3 linked regions of the Coturnix japonica genome follow. Each later gene encodes a partner of the first gene's protein in a complex. Links are inferred from orthologs where the notes say so. Each region holds a gene or a part of one and is shown in the gene's direction. Other genes may lie near its edges. The genes, in order: POLR3E, CRCP and POLR3F.

Region 1 (5,380 bases):
ATGTATTTGCCAGGGTCTGCAAGGGGGTGTAAAGTTGTCTCTTTGCCATCCCTCTCCACCACGGATGTCAGGGAGAATATTAAGTAGCTGTTCTATAATCCTAAAAGGTTGTGAAAACCTGAGATTCCAGAGAGTTTTAACTGGGCATTTGGCTCACTGCCAGACACTGGAGCCAGTGAGCAGTATAAGCAGAACTGACAAATGCATATAAATCCACTTCAATACCTTGTGTTTGATCTGCTTGGAAGGATTAGGTGTTGGGTTATTCAGAGAGAGCTGGTGTGCCTAATAGTAGAGGAGGTATCTGCATCAGTGTTATCAACGTGCTTATCTTTTTTTTTTTTTTTTCTTTCCTTTTTTTTTTTTCTTTTTCTTTTTTAATTTTAAGTTATAGTAGTGGGGAGGGAAGTAAAATCTGATCAGTAAACCAGGCTTATGCCTTAGGTTCCACAAGAAATGTTGTTTCCTGGCTTTATTTCAGTGAGTCATTCAAGCAGCACTCTGCAAAACTGGAGTCTTGTTTATGGTGGGATTTTATGCTACATTTCATTTGTTATCAGGCAATCCATTGCTGGTTTCCGGGGAGCAAAGAGTCAACATGGCAAAAGCAAAAGTCAAGCAGAACTATGGGCAGCTGGACAAGGAGTTCCAGAAGCAAAAGGCAGAACTGAAATCAAATGATGCTTCATCTAAGATAGATGTTTCCAATATCCGCATTAAAGAGGAGCCTGTGAGTGACGAGGAGCCCATGGACACCTCTGTGTATGAGGGCCTGAACAACGGAATCATCAATGGCCTCCACACGGAGGAAGACTCCACGGACACCTTAAATGGCCACTTGCCTGGAGGCTGCAGCGATCGGGTAGCCCAAGAACTGAAGGAATTTGTGTCCTCAACGTTTAAGAAACAATTTGTGCTCACCTTGAGTGAGCTTAAACGGTTGTTTAACCTTCATTTAGCCAGTCTGCCTCCAGGACATATATTGTTCAGTGGCATTTCAGACAAAATGTTACAGGACATGGTGTTGGACGTTGGCTGCAAACAGATTTTGGTGCCTGTAAGTATTTTTTTTTTCTTTTTGGCACTCTGGGGAGGAGGTGGAGGGACACAGCTCCTTACAGGAATGCTGCTGGGATAAAACACACCCAGCAGAGCTCTCTGGGAAGCAGCAAACTATATCTGCAGAGTTCTGTTTGTCGCTCCTTTTCCTCCTGGGCTGTTCAGAGGAGCTTTTGTTTGTCTTCATGGAAATTACGTGTGTGACTGCGTGAGTCGGAGCCAGCAGGTTGCTGAGGAAAGAAAAGGGAATTTGGCATCATGGAAAATAGCCCAAAAGGAAAATAATTTCACAAGACATCTGGTAGTGCTGATTGGTTTCCAGCAGGAACCTGGGAGTCAGGTGCTGTTAGTGAGAGAGACAAGGAGACGTGTGAGCTGCTTGGGAGAGCAGAGAGCAGGCAGGGTGGGTAGAGCCTGGAGCACAGGAGGTGAAGTGACCCTCACACCTTGTTTGGGCTTCAAGGAAGCAGAAGGAACACATTCAGTGGTGTGCAGAGCATGTCCTGTGGCACCTGGAACCAAGTGACAGATGTGAGGTGCCACACAGGAGGCCACTGCTTTTGGTGCTTTCTGCTTTCTCCCCTGACAGATTCCAGGTCCCTGGGCAATGCTTGCCTGCAGCTGCTGATTAGTGCTGGAGAGACTCTCGTTGTACATGGTATAGGAAATGCACTTGTCGTGCTGGTGGTAAACAGCTTAAGTCATCGCTGCTGTAGTGAGTCTGGGATTTGTTTGCTGGAGACTGCTGTACATTTGAGTTCTGCTGGTCTAGAACTTAATGCATAATTTGACATCTGCAGCAGCCTGCATAAGCCTGTACTGCTGTCAGAAAAGTAAGTCAGCCCCCAGGCCTCTGCCTCGTGCTGTGGGCTGGCTGTGCCTTTTGCACGAGTTTATACACTTTGCTCTCTCTGCTTGTTTCTCCTGGACAATTTTGTTTGAACCTGGTGGGGCTGCCTGAGCTCCTTGGGAGTCCAGGGGATGTTTTGCCTGAGATTTTGTGGTTACTCATTAGTTTTCTGTAATTGAAACTGCTTTGGTGGTAAAAATCAATGATCTGAGGTAACTGAAGTGATGTTCTGTGGTGGGTGAAGACACTTTTGGCTTTCACGTTGCCCTGTTACAGAAAATGTGTTGCTGAAAACAACAGTGGAAACCTTACTGGTGGGGTGTAGGATTTATTTATAAAGCTGAACAGCTGCATCTGAGGTACCAGATAAATGGTGCTTGTGGGGCCTCAGAAGGCACTCCAGCTGCAAACAGGGGCTGCCTGCACGGTGCTGTGCTTTGCTTGTGCTTTGGAGCAGTGGCAGCAGTGAGAGGGTGCCTTGCAGTTTGCAGAGTGAAGTGAACTCAGGGAGGCTCTGTGTGCTCTCCCAAATAACACCATGTCAGTTCAGAAGCAGTTCCCTTTCAGAGCCAGCAGTGCAACTTCAAGCTGTGCTCAGCATCTGACTGAGGCAGCAGGTAGTGCTCAGGTCTGCCCCAAGCAGGTCTGCTCCTGCAGCCCTGCATTGCCTGTACTGCAGCTTGTCAGGAGGGAGGCTGATGCCAAGGTGTTATCTGTGCTGAATGAAAGCACAGGAGAGTGTTCCTCTGTGTGCACCGTGTCCTTATGAGAAGAGGAGCATGTTGGGTGTCGCCAGCCCAGCAAACCTGAATCCTGGCTCTAAAGCAGATGCACAGCCCTGCTATTTACCAGCTGTTTGCACTAAGGTGGAGGCAGAGCTGCTGACCCCAGCAGGCAACTCCTGCTGGACACAGCGTTTCCCTTTGCCAGGAGATCAGAGGCAGCCCCTGAAAGGAAGGGCTGAGCTCTCCCTTTGCACTGCAGTCCTTCAGTGTGTGTGGAAAGCTGGGAAGAAAGGTGGGGAGTGTACTGCAGAGAGGAGCTGCAGCAGTCAGACAGGCCTGTTGGCTTTGTGTGGAGGACTGATTGAGGTTGGCAGGGCGGTGGTTAGCGTGGAATGAATGGTCGGTGACAGACAGGAAAGCACACATCAGGGGGGGGAAGTATCCAGCATTACTTGTTAGTCATTGCTCCAGGGGAAATCATTAAGGCAAATGGACATGATTGTATTTTTGTAGGAATTCGGAAGAGTTATATCCCTTCCTGCATGCAGAAACACAAGGCCTCTGTCTCAGAAAATACAAGTGGTGTTCCTCTAGCATGGATCCTGGTAGGGACAAAAACCACTTCAGTTTGGGAGCCTGAAATGCACTGATGTGTGGTTCGCTCTCCGTCAGCGTTCAGTCTCCAGGGGTCCCGTGGGCTGCCCCAGAGATCTCACACACAGCAGAAGCACAGTGCTGGTTGGCTGTGCTGCCTTGGGTTTAGTGGAGCAAATTCCAAATATCTAAAACTTGCCACTGGAGACTTCAGAACCTCCAGAAAACCCTGCAGTGCACTTCGTGCTTAATTGAATTCTGCTTAGGGAAGTCTGGAGACACAAGATGCTGGCAGGAACAATTCCTACGTCGTGCCATGAGATACTGTCTCAAGTCCACACCCTGAGATTATCACGGCGCTTGGTGGTTGTCCTCCCTTCCTCCAAGTTCCCATACAATGTCACAGGATCCCCTCATACAGCTCTGACGTGACCATCACTCCAGTGTGACCAGAAGCATTGCTGAAATGCTGTTGGGAATGCCATGTGTACATCAGGCTGCCGGAGCACTGGCCACATTCCCCAGGCAATATTTACCCCTCACCTGGGGTCTGGCTGCTTCAGCATCACCCAGAGGAACAGGTTGGGTGGGCTTTGTTCTTCTATTGCAGGCACAGGCGCTGCCACAGCACAGTCACCTCCCTGAGCCTGGGGTGGGAGAGAAGCACTTCTCATTAAATGGCCACAACATTTTGATTCAGTAATAGGTGTCAGGGGATACTGTATGATAGAATCATTAAGTAGAACTCATTAAATAGATAGTTATTTTTAACAGCCTCTTGTTCTCAGTTTCCTCCACAGACTGCTGCTTCACCAGATGAGCTAAAGGTTTATGCACTTTGGGAAGCCGGTGACATTTATGATCAGGTAAAGACAGAAATAAGTGATGGTCCCAAACACATTGTTACTGAGGGTTTGGCATTGCTTCACTTTGCATTTCTGGAAGCAGTACAGCAGTTTTTTCACCGTTCCCTAAGGAAGACTCAGAGGTTTCAGTGCCAGCCAGCTTCAGGCTGAGAGAAAGCTCGGGGTGGTTGTCACCATATCAGGAACAAGTTGTTGGGAACAGAAACTGAGACACTGGTAACTAAGTGGCATGTAGATACTATTAATTGTATGAAGAGAGAGGTTCCGTGATGCAGGTCTTAGGCTGGGATCCAGTCAAATTATTTTTCTTTTTTTACTAATGGTAATGCAGTGGTAATGCAGCAGTAGTGCAGTGTTAACCAGTGGTTATATGATGATGATGGAACATGGTGTATCTGTTTATATTTAGAAAAGGAAATGATTACAGCATATGCAAACATCTCCTGAGTTTTATTTCTATCACAGTAAGTGAAGTGGATGGAAAGGCATCTTAACAGAATGTGGACGGGCAATGTAACTGCTGTGCCTGTGACCTAAATAATTGTTTATAGGAAAGTCTCAAGCATTGTTCTAGAGAATAAGCAGCATCCGACCTCCTGGCTGGAGCAGACCACGTGAGCTGCCTGGGAAGCGCGTGAGAGGAAAATGTCATAGTCCCTTCTTTAGTATAGGTTTGTACCCATGGGGGCACCTGGGGTCACAGGATGGGGCAGATCTGCTCATGAGACATGGAGGGATCCCTGCAGAGCTGCAAAGTAACGGGAGGACACCTAATGAGAGCAGGCTGAAATGGGACAGTTTCAGGGTTACAAAGCAAGAATACTCTATTGAAGCTCAGTGAATGTTATGTACGGATTAATGCACAGATGGTTTGTTTTATAGAAAGTTAAAAGTAATTGTGTGTTAATGATTCTTTGTCTAAAGCATCGCCAAGTTTTGCTTGAAATTTTTTCGAAAAATTATCGAGTGCGCAGAAATGTCATTCAGAATCAGCTGAGTCAAGACCTGAACAAGCAGGAGGTGGATAGAGTGTTAAAGGTAAGTTCTGCTCACTTGGGGTTTTGATTCAGTTAACGCATGAATTTTTAATGCTTTGGTTTAACTGAAGGATCATGTATTGCCTTGAGTTGACAAGTGATGGTAGAACAGTCGCTGTGGGAATGCAGGCAGGGCTTGTTTATCAGCCTGTTTTCTTCAAAGTAACACTCGTCTCATTCTACCTTGTTTCTCTCCAAAGAGCAGTGATTTTGACTCCCCTGTTATTTGGTGTTATTGCAGCAAATCTT
Region 2 (6,001 bases), on another chromosome or scaffold:
CTGAAATGAGGAGGGGAGGATCACAATGGAAAAAAACAAATAGTTCCATATATACCTGTTCATTCCTGCTTCTTCCAGTCTGCAGCTTTCCAGCTATATCCCCAATCAGCTCCTGAGGACAAGAGAATAACGTCTGTCAGTGCCTCTATTCTGAGCAAGAGATTAATGCAAGAGCAGATATCCTGCCACTCAAGCAAGGGGTTCAGGTTTAGGGTTCTCTTCTGGGGAAGGGGAAGTTTGGGTTCTAGACTTTTACAGCCTCTCTTCCACACAAAAGAGGTCCTGGATACTGTTGGCTGTAAACCTAGTATGTCAGTATAGCAAGATGTTGAGGAATTTCACCATGCTGGGGACAGAGGCATATGTGCTCAATGTCAGGCAGCACTAACTAGAGAGGGAGAGAAATAAGAGGTTAAAGAACCCAAACCTTCAGTCTGCGTTCAATGGCAGTCTGGATATCCTCATCACTTTGGGTCATTACAAGGACTCCCTTAGATGATTCCTCAGAGATCTATAAATATCAACAGAAACACAAGTCAGCTCATACTGATTCCCTGAGTGAGGGGCTGTAAGTTATCCCCAGGAAATACCAAGTTCTGCCATCCAAATGGAAATGAAAGCATTCTCACAGGTGCTCCTGCATTCCTGTTCTTTCAGGCCAAGGCTGGCTGCTTGCTCTATCCCTATATTGTGTATTGCACTTGGTGGAGATTCATCTTTTGATCCTTGCTGATCCTGCACTCCTGGCTATGGCAGGACTTAAGCATCACAGTGAGAAAGTGAGCTGAAGTGGCAGTCATTGCTTTAGTATTGTCCGTAAAGATTTTCCTATACAAACATTGTATAGGCTGCCCATTATCCATGGTAGGTGAGCAACAACAATGAATATTTCAGAAAAAGTGCTTAGTGGCTGGCTCTTCTTCACCCCTATACAATACCGTGCATTGCCTTCTACTAAGTCAGGCAGATGGACACAAAGGGATCCCAAGTGCCATTGGAAAAATAATAGTTCTAATTCATACTGAAACAATTCCTCAGGTACGTTCAGTCTGAAGAGGATGGGCAGGCAGGTTGTGCTGAGCACACCTCACTGAGGCACCAGGTTTCCATAAGCAGCATTCTTGCTGTGCTCAGTAGGGATTTTTGCTGCAGCTAGATGGATTCTAAGCATTTATCTCCTGTCCAGAACATCTGCTAGAGTATCAAATGCAATACACACAGGCTTCTGCAATTCTTCCTGGTTTCAGACAGCATTCCCTTACAGGAATGCACTTTTCCACATGCCTAGTACTAAGAAATAGGATGTGGGGATACAGAAAGATTGTCTTTAGAGCATGGACCCAGGGAGGTGACAACAGATGCTATCGGATAAGCTATTCATCAAAGTACTCTTGTGGGAATTGTTCTGAGCATGCAGGGCAGTTTATGAAAGAAATAAATACCTTTTCCAGGCCACTCAGGATCTTCTCCAGCTCGGTTTTAGTTAGGATGCTAGCCTTCTCCAAGGCTTTGGCATAAGCCATGCTTGCCTGGATATCAACTTCAGTCAGTCTCTGCTCAGTGGATATAGAAGAGCTGAGAATCTCCAGGATGGGATCTGTACTTCCAACAAATCTTCCTCCCAATAGTTTATCCCCCTGAGAGTAATGAAGTTAAAGGACATTCAAATGCATTATTGATATATTCTCCTAAAAATCTCTCAATGCCACGTTCAAGTAAAACTGTGGGAATGTTTTATATATCCCTTATTTATATGTTTTATATACCCTTTTTCTAATATATATATATTTCTATCCCAAATCCTCAAACACTTAGAAATTATAGCAGCGCTGAGCTGCGGGGTTGCTGGTACCATGGACAGCGGGCGGCTCCGATGGCCCTTTCCAGGCAGACGATGGAGAGGAGGAAACCTGTAGGTACGAAGTGCTCAAGTCTCTTTATCTTTTCTCTTTAAAGCAGTTTGTCAGCAGGAGTTGCAAGGGAGGAATCGAGTTGTGAAAGCAAGGTTTTGCAGCCTCGCTGGGAGCACAGCCCTCTGCAGTGAATGGATGGGGTGCTGAAGGCCAGTGCTGGGAGGTAAGTGCTTGGATGGAGAAGAGGTATTGGAATATATCTTAGTATATGGCAGTATATAAGTAGTAGAGAAGCAATTATCGCAGTATATAATTATATAAATAAATTTGCTGTTCACTTTCCATTTAAAATTTCAGGAAAAGAAATTTTCCTAAAATTCAGAAAAAGGCAGAGAGAATCACCCTGAAGCTCCCTATCAAATGCATCTGGATGCTCCGTGGAGCTATCAGTCATCTATCAGAGCACCCCAAGAGCACCCCATAGGAAAAGCAAAGTTTGGCCTCACCTCGGTTGCCATTTCGGACGACGTTTTGCTCGTGTTTGCAGCAATCCTGGCGCCTGGTGCAACCTGTGGAACAGCGAGGTGAGGCTCAGTTCAGCTCTGTTTGGCTCAGCTCAGCTCTGCCCCAGCCCCACAGCAGCACAGAGCCTCCCCAGCTGCCCGCACAGCCCTGCTCACCGTGTCCACAGCTCAGCCCTGGCTGGTCGCTCTGTGCTCTCCGGTCTCACTGCCCGGCTTTTACGTGCCTCGGAGCCTGGGCTGGAAGCTCGTCACGCCCCATTGGGGCGGGGTGTCCCCTAATCCAGCCCAGCTCTTCCCCTCCCTGGCCCCCCTCATGCTGCCCACCCCTTGTCCTGTGTTTGGCCACTGCTCAATCAGGAAAAGGTCAGGGAGAGGTTTCCCAGTGGGTAGGGTAGCTGTGAAGAAGAGAGCTGGTAAAGATGCCCTCATGTTGCTTGTTTGTAAAGTTATTGGTGTAAGAGCACCTGTAATGGGAGATTGTCTGCTGTGTGGTTTCAATGGCAGGTCATCTCCTTGTCAGGGAGTATCGTTGTGCTGAAGGAGTCTTTTTACTCTGGCATCCCCCTCTATATTGGTATGAATGTACTTGGGATGTTGGGTGGATCAACAACACTCCATCTACACTGCCACCAACACATGAGAATTAAACATCTGGGAGCTAATTTGTCTCCAGTTCCTGTGCAGATGAGCCTTTTCACCCCACCCCACTTCAGCTTTCAGGGTTTCTGCTGTCACCAATTGCATTGGGTCAATCTTGAGAAGTTCCTGTAAGCATGAGACTGAGGCTGTGGGATGTGAGTTTAGTGCAGTGCCACAGCGGTCACTAGGTCTGCGGCCCTGGCAAATAGCCCACGTCTTAACTCCCATCAGACTCTGAATATTATGGTTTTAAAGAATTGGTTAAAAAATGGGAGCGTTGGGAACATCTGTTCACAAAGCTGCTCCCCAGCTCCAGTTTCTCTTTAGACGCAATGCATTTCTGCTCTGAAAAAGCACTTGCTGGTTTCCCTTACTGTGTGTTGCTACAGTGTAGTATGCTTCCATCTGCATGGCACAGACCTTTGGCAAAGCTCAGGAAACATATTCTCATTTCCTTGTCCCCATTTCTTCCTTCCCTTTAGCTGACTGTCTGGTCTTTTTTCTTCTGTTCCCTCAGTTCTTCAACTTGTCTCCTTTTTCCATTTATTCCAGGGCATCTACACTTGGAAACTGCTGAATTGCTTTGTGATCACATCCTTCTTGCTTTGAAATCCATCATTTTTTACTACTTTTCTTGTCTCTTTCACCCTTTACGAGTGTCCTTGTCCTTACTCCTGGCTTTGATAGGAAATTGTTGTTGTTTTGGGAGAATCGTGAGCATTCAGTTTACAACCCAAGTGTACCCAGTACAGAGAGAATCTCTATCTCATGTTTGTTATATCACTGTAGGTTAACACACAGCCTGAGTGAGGATTACATGTCTTTCTGCCTGAGGATATCCAGCAGGATGTGCCCAGAAGGAAAAAGGGGAAAAGTAGAGATCCCAGGTGCCCAAGTGAGATGAGAGATCAGTAACACATTGTCTTCATGTCAAATATTTGTGGTGATGTATTGCAGGTTTTGGCCTTGAAATAAGTTGTTCTAATGGATGTTGTGGAACTAAAATCTGCAATCCACATGCAGCCGGGTATTAATCAACAGGAACGACTTAGCTGAATTTCTGGTGCTTTCACAATCTGTGCCTTGACCACAAATCTAGTTTTGTGATCAAGAAGCCTTCTGTATTTGCTATCAGGTGATCCCACTTTTATTAATCTATGCCTGGAATTATACATGGCAAGGACATGTATAATTCCGCATGGGATCCGTCAGTGTTATCACTGTGCACTAAGCAACTTCACAGAGATTAGTTTGTGTACAGAACGCTGCCTCAGTTTGTATTTAGGAGGTTATTAATTCTCTCTTTTCCTGTTTTTAGATGAAACACTTCATACCGATCTCTTCTGTACAGCGGGCAACATAGAATACAGTTGTAGTAGGAATGGAAGTGAAGCTGTAAAGCCAATCAGAAATCCTTAATGTGATTGAACAAACAGATGACTTAACGATGCTTGGGGCTGGGGAGGTTGTTTTTGAGGGAAAAATAGTGAAATAGCATTGCAGAATAGGTCTCTTCTAACAAACACTGGAATGTATCCTCATCATTATTATCTTCCCAGCTGACATACAATGAAGTAGTAAGAGTGAATCTCCATTTTGCGGCATGGAGAGGATGAATTGAATATATTTTAATGTCCTCTAAGATTTGGATTTTATTTGTACTTGCTTTTGCAGTCACATTCACATCCTTCCTATTTACACTGTTTATTTTGCTTTTGCTGGAAGAGCGCAATACTTGCGGAGTGCAGCTCTGAAAGCGCTTTAGTGGTGTAAAGAAATCCTCTATTCATAGTTTTCATAACTGAGGCTGGGGCAACAAACAGCTACAATATATATTCTTTAAAAACATTCTTTTTTAGTGTCATTTTGGTTTAGAAAAAGGGGGAAAAAAAGCGCTGTGGGCTGAACATGCTGGTTAAACGCACCGTCAGCTAGACTGGTGTGAAGCAGTGCTGACATTTTTTTGTTAAAAAACAAAACAAAACACAACCACCTTGTTTAATGAATTTTGAATGTAAAAGAAAAAAAAAGACACTATAGGGTGATCAGCGAAATGCTGAATACAGTAAACATCTTTCATGACAAAGAATACAAATACCCCGCAGATCTGCTTTCAATAGCAATTGCTAGGCCCCCTGCTTTCAATAGTTAATACCGAGGCCCCTCTCTACCAAGCCTTAGTGGTAACAATCACAAGCCAATGCTTAAAATGTTGACATGCTAAGCACATTTAGAAAAACCTATGTCTGCATTCCCTATGGATGGTGTAGCATAACTGTCTAACATCTAATGTGCAGCAATTAAAAACAGAGTTCAGTGAGCTAATCATTCCATCTCTCCTGCAAAGTTGTGTGTAATGGTTATTCCTCTCTCTTAGAGGTTCCCCTCACATGATGTCAGTGGACCCGTAGCTGATCATTTATGTACTTCAACCCTAACAGGCTGCATGTGTCTGCTAGGAAGAATTTAGGAAGACTATTTCTTTTGGTAAGAAAAAGGTTGAGGGCCATTGAGAGAAGCATTTGTATTATATTCATCCTTTCTAGCTGCTGGGATTGGGCACTGCCATTGTGGAACAAATTGGAGTAACACTGAACATAAAGATGATAAATTGGTGTTGGAGGAGAAATACAACAAAAGGGAAATATAATTAATATGCTGAAGATTTTGAACCCGTATCTACAGAGAGCGAGGAGAGGCATGTAAGGATTCATAGACTTTTAGAACAAAAGTCTGGAAATTTAGTAAGGTCTGGAAATAACATTCTCAAGTGAAAGCTTTTTAATTCTTCTTCCTTTTAGTCTAGATGGGAGATGGTGTACAGGCAGTTTCATGGACAAGGTTAGAAACATGGCGAAGAAGTTGCAGAGCATTTGTTGTGTTGGTTTGGCCAACTTGCAAGGTTAGTTAATCCCGACACGAAAAAGACCAGCATCCATTGCAGCCTGTCCACTGGGTCAGACAGCAGCTTCTGCAATGCCTTAA
Region 3 (6,027 bases), on another chromosome or scaffold:
TGTTATGTTGCTTAGAAATGAATTATTTTGTTGTTGTTGTTCTTAATAAGCAGGCTGGTAAGTATAGAAGGCAATTTTTGTTCCCTGCTTGCAGTGCTGAGAAATGGAAATTGGACTCCTCAGAAGATGTTTTGACTTCTGAGATGTTTTTTAGATTCCCCTGTATTTTAATGATGACATAAGATGAAAACTTTGCACTGTATTCTCAGCTAACAAAAAAACCCAAAGTCTGTTCTGACTTCCTGCAGTAATACCATACCTTGAACATCCCGGGGTGTTTCAGTCCAGGCAGGCTTGATTTCCACACCCATTCCATTTTGCCTTGGTTTTGTAGTAAATGTTCCATCTTCCTTCTCCTAAGAAGTGATTTCATTTGGATTACTTAGGATTGCTTGTTTTTGCTCTAATCCTTCCTATAGTTATAGGAAGCTATAGTTATTTGTTACGATTTTAAAGGCATATCATTGAGGTATTTCTTTTCATTGTAAGCATTTGAAAAGCTTGGAGGATAAATGTATTTTAAATATATTTGACCTGAATTGATCATGACAGAGCAGTGAGTAAAGAAAGAAGACGTGTTCCCTTAAAATTTCACTTTATAAAAAGGGCCAAGGCTGCAAAGATGAGCAACAGGGAAAATAAAATACATAAAAAATGCAGGCAGTCAAGGTTTAATCTCTAAGCACTATCATACACACAACCTTCTGTATTCAGACAAGAGATTGCAACTGCTACAACTTGCCTGTGTTGTGACATCTTTTAGGAACTTCTTGTCATCATCTTCCATAGAGAAGAGGCCGTTTGGTTGCTTGTACTCTACTAGAAACACCTTTGTCACAACAGCACTCTCCCTGCAGTCCCTGGAAGTCAATGATCACAAAGTTCTGAACATGCCATAAAACCACATGCAATGAAAAGGAAACCACGGGGGAACACGGTTGATCGTCTGGAACATCTCTTCCAAGTTTGCAAGTCATTACTTCAGTGAGTAAGCACAGTCCTGGGAAATACTCTCAAAAACCTCTGCTTTGTTTTGTTATTATGTTTAAGTTAGTGTGCACACTAAGAAGTTAACAGTAAAACATACGGATGGATACTTTAATTCTTCAACATCTTTTACCTGTGAAACTAACTCCTGATGCTGCTGTGTCTGCTTTCTGGAGTAATTAGTTTGCCAGCATTGCAGGCAACAAAGGGCAGTCAAGCAGCAGACAGCACACTGTCAATTTGATATATCAACTGTCCTTCTCTTATCTACCTTCTCTACCTTCTCACTTGCTAAATTACAGCAGTAACATTAAAATGCCACAAATGTACAAGCTATTAATTAAGAATTTGCTTTCATTCCAGAGCATCAATTTGGTGCACCTGGAAATGTCTTAATAAAACACTGGAAAGAACTGTTAATTCAGATAGTGATATATGAAAATACCTTCAGACCTAGGGTTTGCATGTCCTGCACAGGGAATATAATGTTGTCATATTCCAATGCAGATACAAGCAAAGGCTACATGCAGGTGCTAATAGTGGGGAACAGATTCCCAGCTGGACTGGGGATTCCTTGTGTGTTCTTCTAACCATGAAGTTAAGATGTCCATTCTAAAACAGAACTAAGTTAAAGCAGGATACTTACTTGGTAACTGCAAGAGCCTTGACTGTTATTTTCCCGACTGGTAACGTGATAGGACTCTTATACTTAAAAGTGTTACGCTCTCCATAGCCAGGCTTCCTAAAAAGTTCTGGTTTACTTCCATCTAAAGTGTAATAAATAGAGACCTCAGGTGTATCTGAACAACACAGAGAAAGTAATTAGCCAAACTGTGCAGGAGCTGGAAAAAAACACAAATATCTGTACAACCCTGCAGATACTCAGCACTGTGTGAGTACTTGACTTTCTCACATAAGCACAATGAAGCAATTGCATAAAAGTTCAGAACCAAAACCGTTTCTCCCATGAAGAACTGACACTGAATGGCTGCGATGTCACGATTAGCAATATTTCTCTTCATAAAGTCACCGCACGGTGGTTTTGCAGGAAAACACTGTTCTACCAACAGATAAACCATCTCCTCTGATGGCAGGTGGAGTTCCTGAGGCCAGTTACCTGCAGCCAACACGGAGGCTGGAAGGCTCAAACGCTTTGAGAGGAGGTTTGACAGAGGCAAAGCCGCAGCCCGTACCTGACTTGATTTCCACCCGGGTGCCGCTGTCGATGCGGTGCTTGGCCTGCCCTGGAACAGGGACCCGGAGCGGAATGAGCTGCGGCACAGACACGGAGCCCGCCGCCATCCTGCTCTGCGATCCCTGAAACACAACAACAACAGCAACCACAACAACAACCACAACCACCACAAAGCAGGCGGTGTCGACAAAGCCCACGCGTCCCGTTACTCGGCAACCGGCACCGGCGCGTACAAATAACGTCATCTCAACGTGCCGCTCAGTAACCGATCCCCTCCGCTCCTGGTGACGGCATCTCCCCGCGCAGCCCGGCCCGCCGCCATGGCGGAGGTGAAGGTGAAGCCGGAGGTGCCCGACCCCGTGGACATAGAGAGCAGGTGCGTTGGGACGGGCCCTGGCCCGAAATCATCGGGAGAGGCTTCGTGGTGCTGGGGAGGCGGGGAGCGGTGGGTCCTGGTGGGTCCTGGTGCGTTGATGTTGAGAGCAGCCCAAAAGTGAAGTGGAGCAGCAGCGCTGTCAGAAAGAGCTGAGAAGTGGTTCTTCCTGAGCTGCTCTTTCCTTTCCGTCCCTGCTCTGATGGCCTTTCAGGTGGCTGGTTTTGTGCACAACGGCCTTTGGTTCATAAACCGCCTCATTCCTCCCCCAGGATCATTGAGCTGTGCCAGCAGTTCCCTCACGGCATCACAGACCAGGTGATCCAGAATGACATGCCGCACATGGAGGCCCAGCAGCGAGCCATGGCCATCAACAGGCTGCTCTCCATGGTACGACGTTCCACACCCCTTCGAGCTGCTTCATCCTGAGGCTCTTGATGTCAATGGGCTGTTGTCAATGGCTGCGTGGTGGCACCCAGCTGGGCAGGGCTGGGAAGTTCATCTTGGATTTAGTGTCATTTGCCAGAACTGGCAGTTTTTGCAGCTTAATTGTGGTTCTCACTTGTGACCACCACAACCACTTATAACGGTCACCATCATCTATTAAAACATACCTCAAAATGTAGTTTCCATTCTGTAAGATAAAGTTAACACCTGTTGTGTGAGTGAGCAGCCTCCATGAGGCATCCTCAAACTTGGCTGACACTTTTCCAGTTATCTACAGAACTGAGAACATAACCAACAAAATAAGAGCCCTCATCTCTTCCACTTGTGGAATTGTTCAGTGTTCCTGTCCAGCAGAGCTCTCACTTGATATCTGGATGCTCATATGAATGAGCACTTTGGTGGGAAGTATACAAGAGCTCCATGTCCCAAGGTGAACGTTAGGAGAAACAACGGGAAGTGCACCAGTGTTGTGGGGAGAGGCTGGAGCTGTGTTTGTTATTTCTGACAGCTAATGATAAATGCATGGTCAGAGGGGAAGAATAATATCCTCAGGGTTATTGTTGTGTCTAGCAGTTAGAAATGTTGTTTTTCCCTTTTCTGTATTCAGCTGATACAAAGTACATTTATTTTCTTTACAAGTTAAGGAGATTTTCTTGCCGTGTTCTGAAAAGAAGCTGTTAGAAGGGAAGTTAATGTGCTGTGCCTGTTTCCCACAGGGGCAACTGGACCTTCTCAGGAGCAGCACAGGTCTCCTGTATAGAATCAAAGAGTCTCAAAATGCAAGGTGAGCCTTGTGCTTACGCAATCAATATCTGAATGCGGTTCTGCAGCTGATGTGCGGCGTTGCTGAGAACACAGCAAGGAATTTAACATGGGCTCTGTAACAAAGATATTACAGAATTTACTTGCTTGATACGCTTAACCCCCCTGAGCCAATTCTGTCAACTGTTGTATGATTCCTGCTGCACAGACTCTCCCATGGGGCTCCAGCTGTAGCTTACTAGTGGAATTCTTCATCTGGCAAAGTGATCTCTATGAGCAGATGCGAATGCTCAGATGAAAGCCAGCTGAAGCTTGACCACACCATCTATAAGTATCGTTCTGTGGTCTTTTCCAGCACTTACAGCAGTTCCAGAAGGCCGCTTGATATGTTGTTTGTGCTCTTTTATTTGATTTATTAAAACATGCCTTCAATAAAGTCGTGTTTTGCGATGTCTGTGTGGAGCTGAGTAGGAGATGCCTGGATTTACTTCTAGAAAGAAACGTCCTTCAAAATTATCTTCCATGCAGGCATCTCAACTTCTCTTTCCACTGCATTAGAAAAAAACCTTCTAAGCTGAGGCTTTCTGAGACCAGTGAGAAGGCACGTTGTAGAGCCTCTGCTGTCCCCTTGTTGCGACAGTTGGTCCTGAATTATGTGCTGAGTGTTTGACCTTATGCAGTTGTGTTAATATGTGACTCCAAACTTCTCTTTGTTAAGAGAAGTTGAGTGTTTCCTGCTTACCCTCATTTTTAATGACTAATATTATTTTTTTTTTCAACTGTGCTGTTTTCTCTTTACTGTGGCTTTTCACTGGCAATCGCAGAATGATCCACAGAGGTTTGGTGTCATGTATTTTATTTGCCACTGGCTGGTTTATTGTGTGGGGCTTCTTTTTCCCTTTGTGTGTTGTGGTTTCTGTTCATAGTATTTGTTTTTGGTTTAAAATAAATCCACCCTCTTTCAAACTTCAAACTTACCCCAAAAAATCCCGTTGTCTCTTCTACTCCACAGTAAAATGAAAGGCTCTGACAATCAAGAGAAGCTGGTTTACCAAATCATAGAAGATGCAGGCAACAAAGGTAGTTTAAATAAATTATAATGGGGAATGGTAATAGCTTTGTTTGTGGAACTTTTCCTGTCCAAACGTTTAAATTCTTGTCCAGGCAATGCAGATATCAGATATAGAGCACGCCTAAGTCTGTAGCTAATGTTCCACGTGCCACTTATTAAAAACAGAGGAAGACATATTTCTCTATTAAAATAACAAATTATCTGGTCTGACCTTTTGGGACCTCTTTCAAAATATGAAGTTTCAGAATATGAATTATGGCTTATTGATGGGACTGTGAAACTGGGGAATCTATACAAAATACTCATCACTTTAAAAACAAAATTCTGTGTCTCCTGGATCTCCTGTGAGGCCAAATGTTGTGTACATGTAAGAGCTCCCAGAGATACAGATGGTGACTGTGCTGTGAGGTTTTTCTTCTGCTTTGTCAGTTGATTTTTATTTCATCCTCTTTTTCCCATTCCCTCCCTTTTGCTGAGGGTGGTAGGATTGGAGATGCAGCCTTTGGCTGGCAGGCAACATTATGACTTTTGGCTTGTTAATCCTTACAGAAACAAATACCTGGTTCTCCTAATTAATTCTGTTCATTTCTGTGCTTCTTTAACAGGTATTTGGAGCAGGGACATCAGATACAAAAGTAATTTGCCTTTAACGGAGATCAACAAGATATTGAAAAACTTGGAAAGCAAGAAACTAATTAAAGCAGTGAAATCTGTGGCAGTGAGTAATTTTTGACTTGTTGCTTTTTAACATTTCCAAATGTTTGCTACATGCTGTACATGTTTGAACGTGGAACAGGGAGCAGAGAAACCTTGTTCTGCCTCCAGCTTTGTCACTGCATGTGGACCAACATTTTACTCTTAACATTTACAATGTATGTTTGAGCTGTACCAGATCCAAGAGGCTGTCATGTTTGATAAGTAATAAACATACTATAGCAAACAAATTAATAATATAAGTAATAAATACACCGCCATTAATATACTGTTCTATTACCATTCATACTGCTGTTATATCTTACGTACAAATAGTCCACATGCGAGAGTAGGGCTTATTTTTTTCAGTACTTTTGTTATTCTGTTGTAATGCTTATGCAGCATCCTGCTCTGCCTTACCTGCTTCATTACAAATCATTGGCATGTGCATATTATTTGGGCACTCTCCTGGTTTCTAGCTCAGGGCTTGTTGCATAC

Evidence for each region.
Region 2: POLR3E (region 1) and CRCP share a complex: the UniProt entries of both Homo sapiens proteins name them as parts of the RNA polymerase III complex. The link is inferred for Coturnix japonica from reciprocal best matches to the Homo sapiens genes POLR3E and CRCP.
Region 3: POLR3E (region 1) and POLR3F share a complex: the UniProt entries of both Homo sapiens proteins name them as parts of the RNA polymerase III complex. The link is inferred for Coturnix japonica from reciprocal best matches to the Homo sapiens genes POLR3E and POLR3F.

What each region holds. Positions count from the first base shown.
Region 1 is NC_029529.1:8,344,684-8,350,063, forward strand, and holds part of POLR3E (DNA-directed RNA polymerase III subunit RPC5), read left to right. Parts: intron 1-560; coding exon 561-1,057; intron 1,058-4,002; exon of another isoform or gene 4,003-4,016; coding exon 4,017-4,094; intron 4,095-5,018; coding exon 5,019-5,132; intron 5,133-5,380. UniProt on the Homo sapiens protein: DNA-dependent RNA polymerase catalyzes the transcription of DNA into RNA using the four ribonucleoside triphosphates as substrates.
Region 2 is NC_029534.1:3,786,017-3,792,017, forward strand, and holds the start of CRCP (DNA-directed RNA polymerase III subunit RPC9), read left to right. Parts: upstream 1-1,956; 5' UTR 1,957-2,076; intron 2,077-2,210; 5' UTR 2,211-2,273; coding exon 2,274-2,437; intron 2,438-2,533; exon of another isoform or gene 2,534-2,600; intron 2,601-6,001. Other genes in the region: delta-1 crystallin, read right to left, coding at 56-112, 428-511, 1,443-1,637, 2,360-2,371. UniProt on the Homo sapiens protein: DNA-dependent RNA polymerase catalyzes the transcription of DNA into RNA using the four ribonucleoside triphosphates as substrates.
Region 3 is NC_029518.1:13,402,061-13,408,087, reverse strand, and holds the start of POLR3F (DNA-directed RNA polymerase III subunit RPC6), read left to right. Parts: upstream 1-2,405; 5' UTR 2,406-2,502; coding exon 2,503-2,558; intron 2,559-2,827; coding exon 2,828-2,945; intron 2,946-3,718; coding exon 3,719-3,786; intron 3,787-4,776; coding exon 4,777-4,844; intron 4,845-5,441; coding exon 5,442-5,554; intron 5,555-6,027. UniProt on the Homo sapiens protein: DNA-dependent RNA polymerase catalyzes the transcription of DNA into RNA using the four ribonucleoside triphosphates as substrates.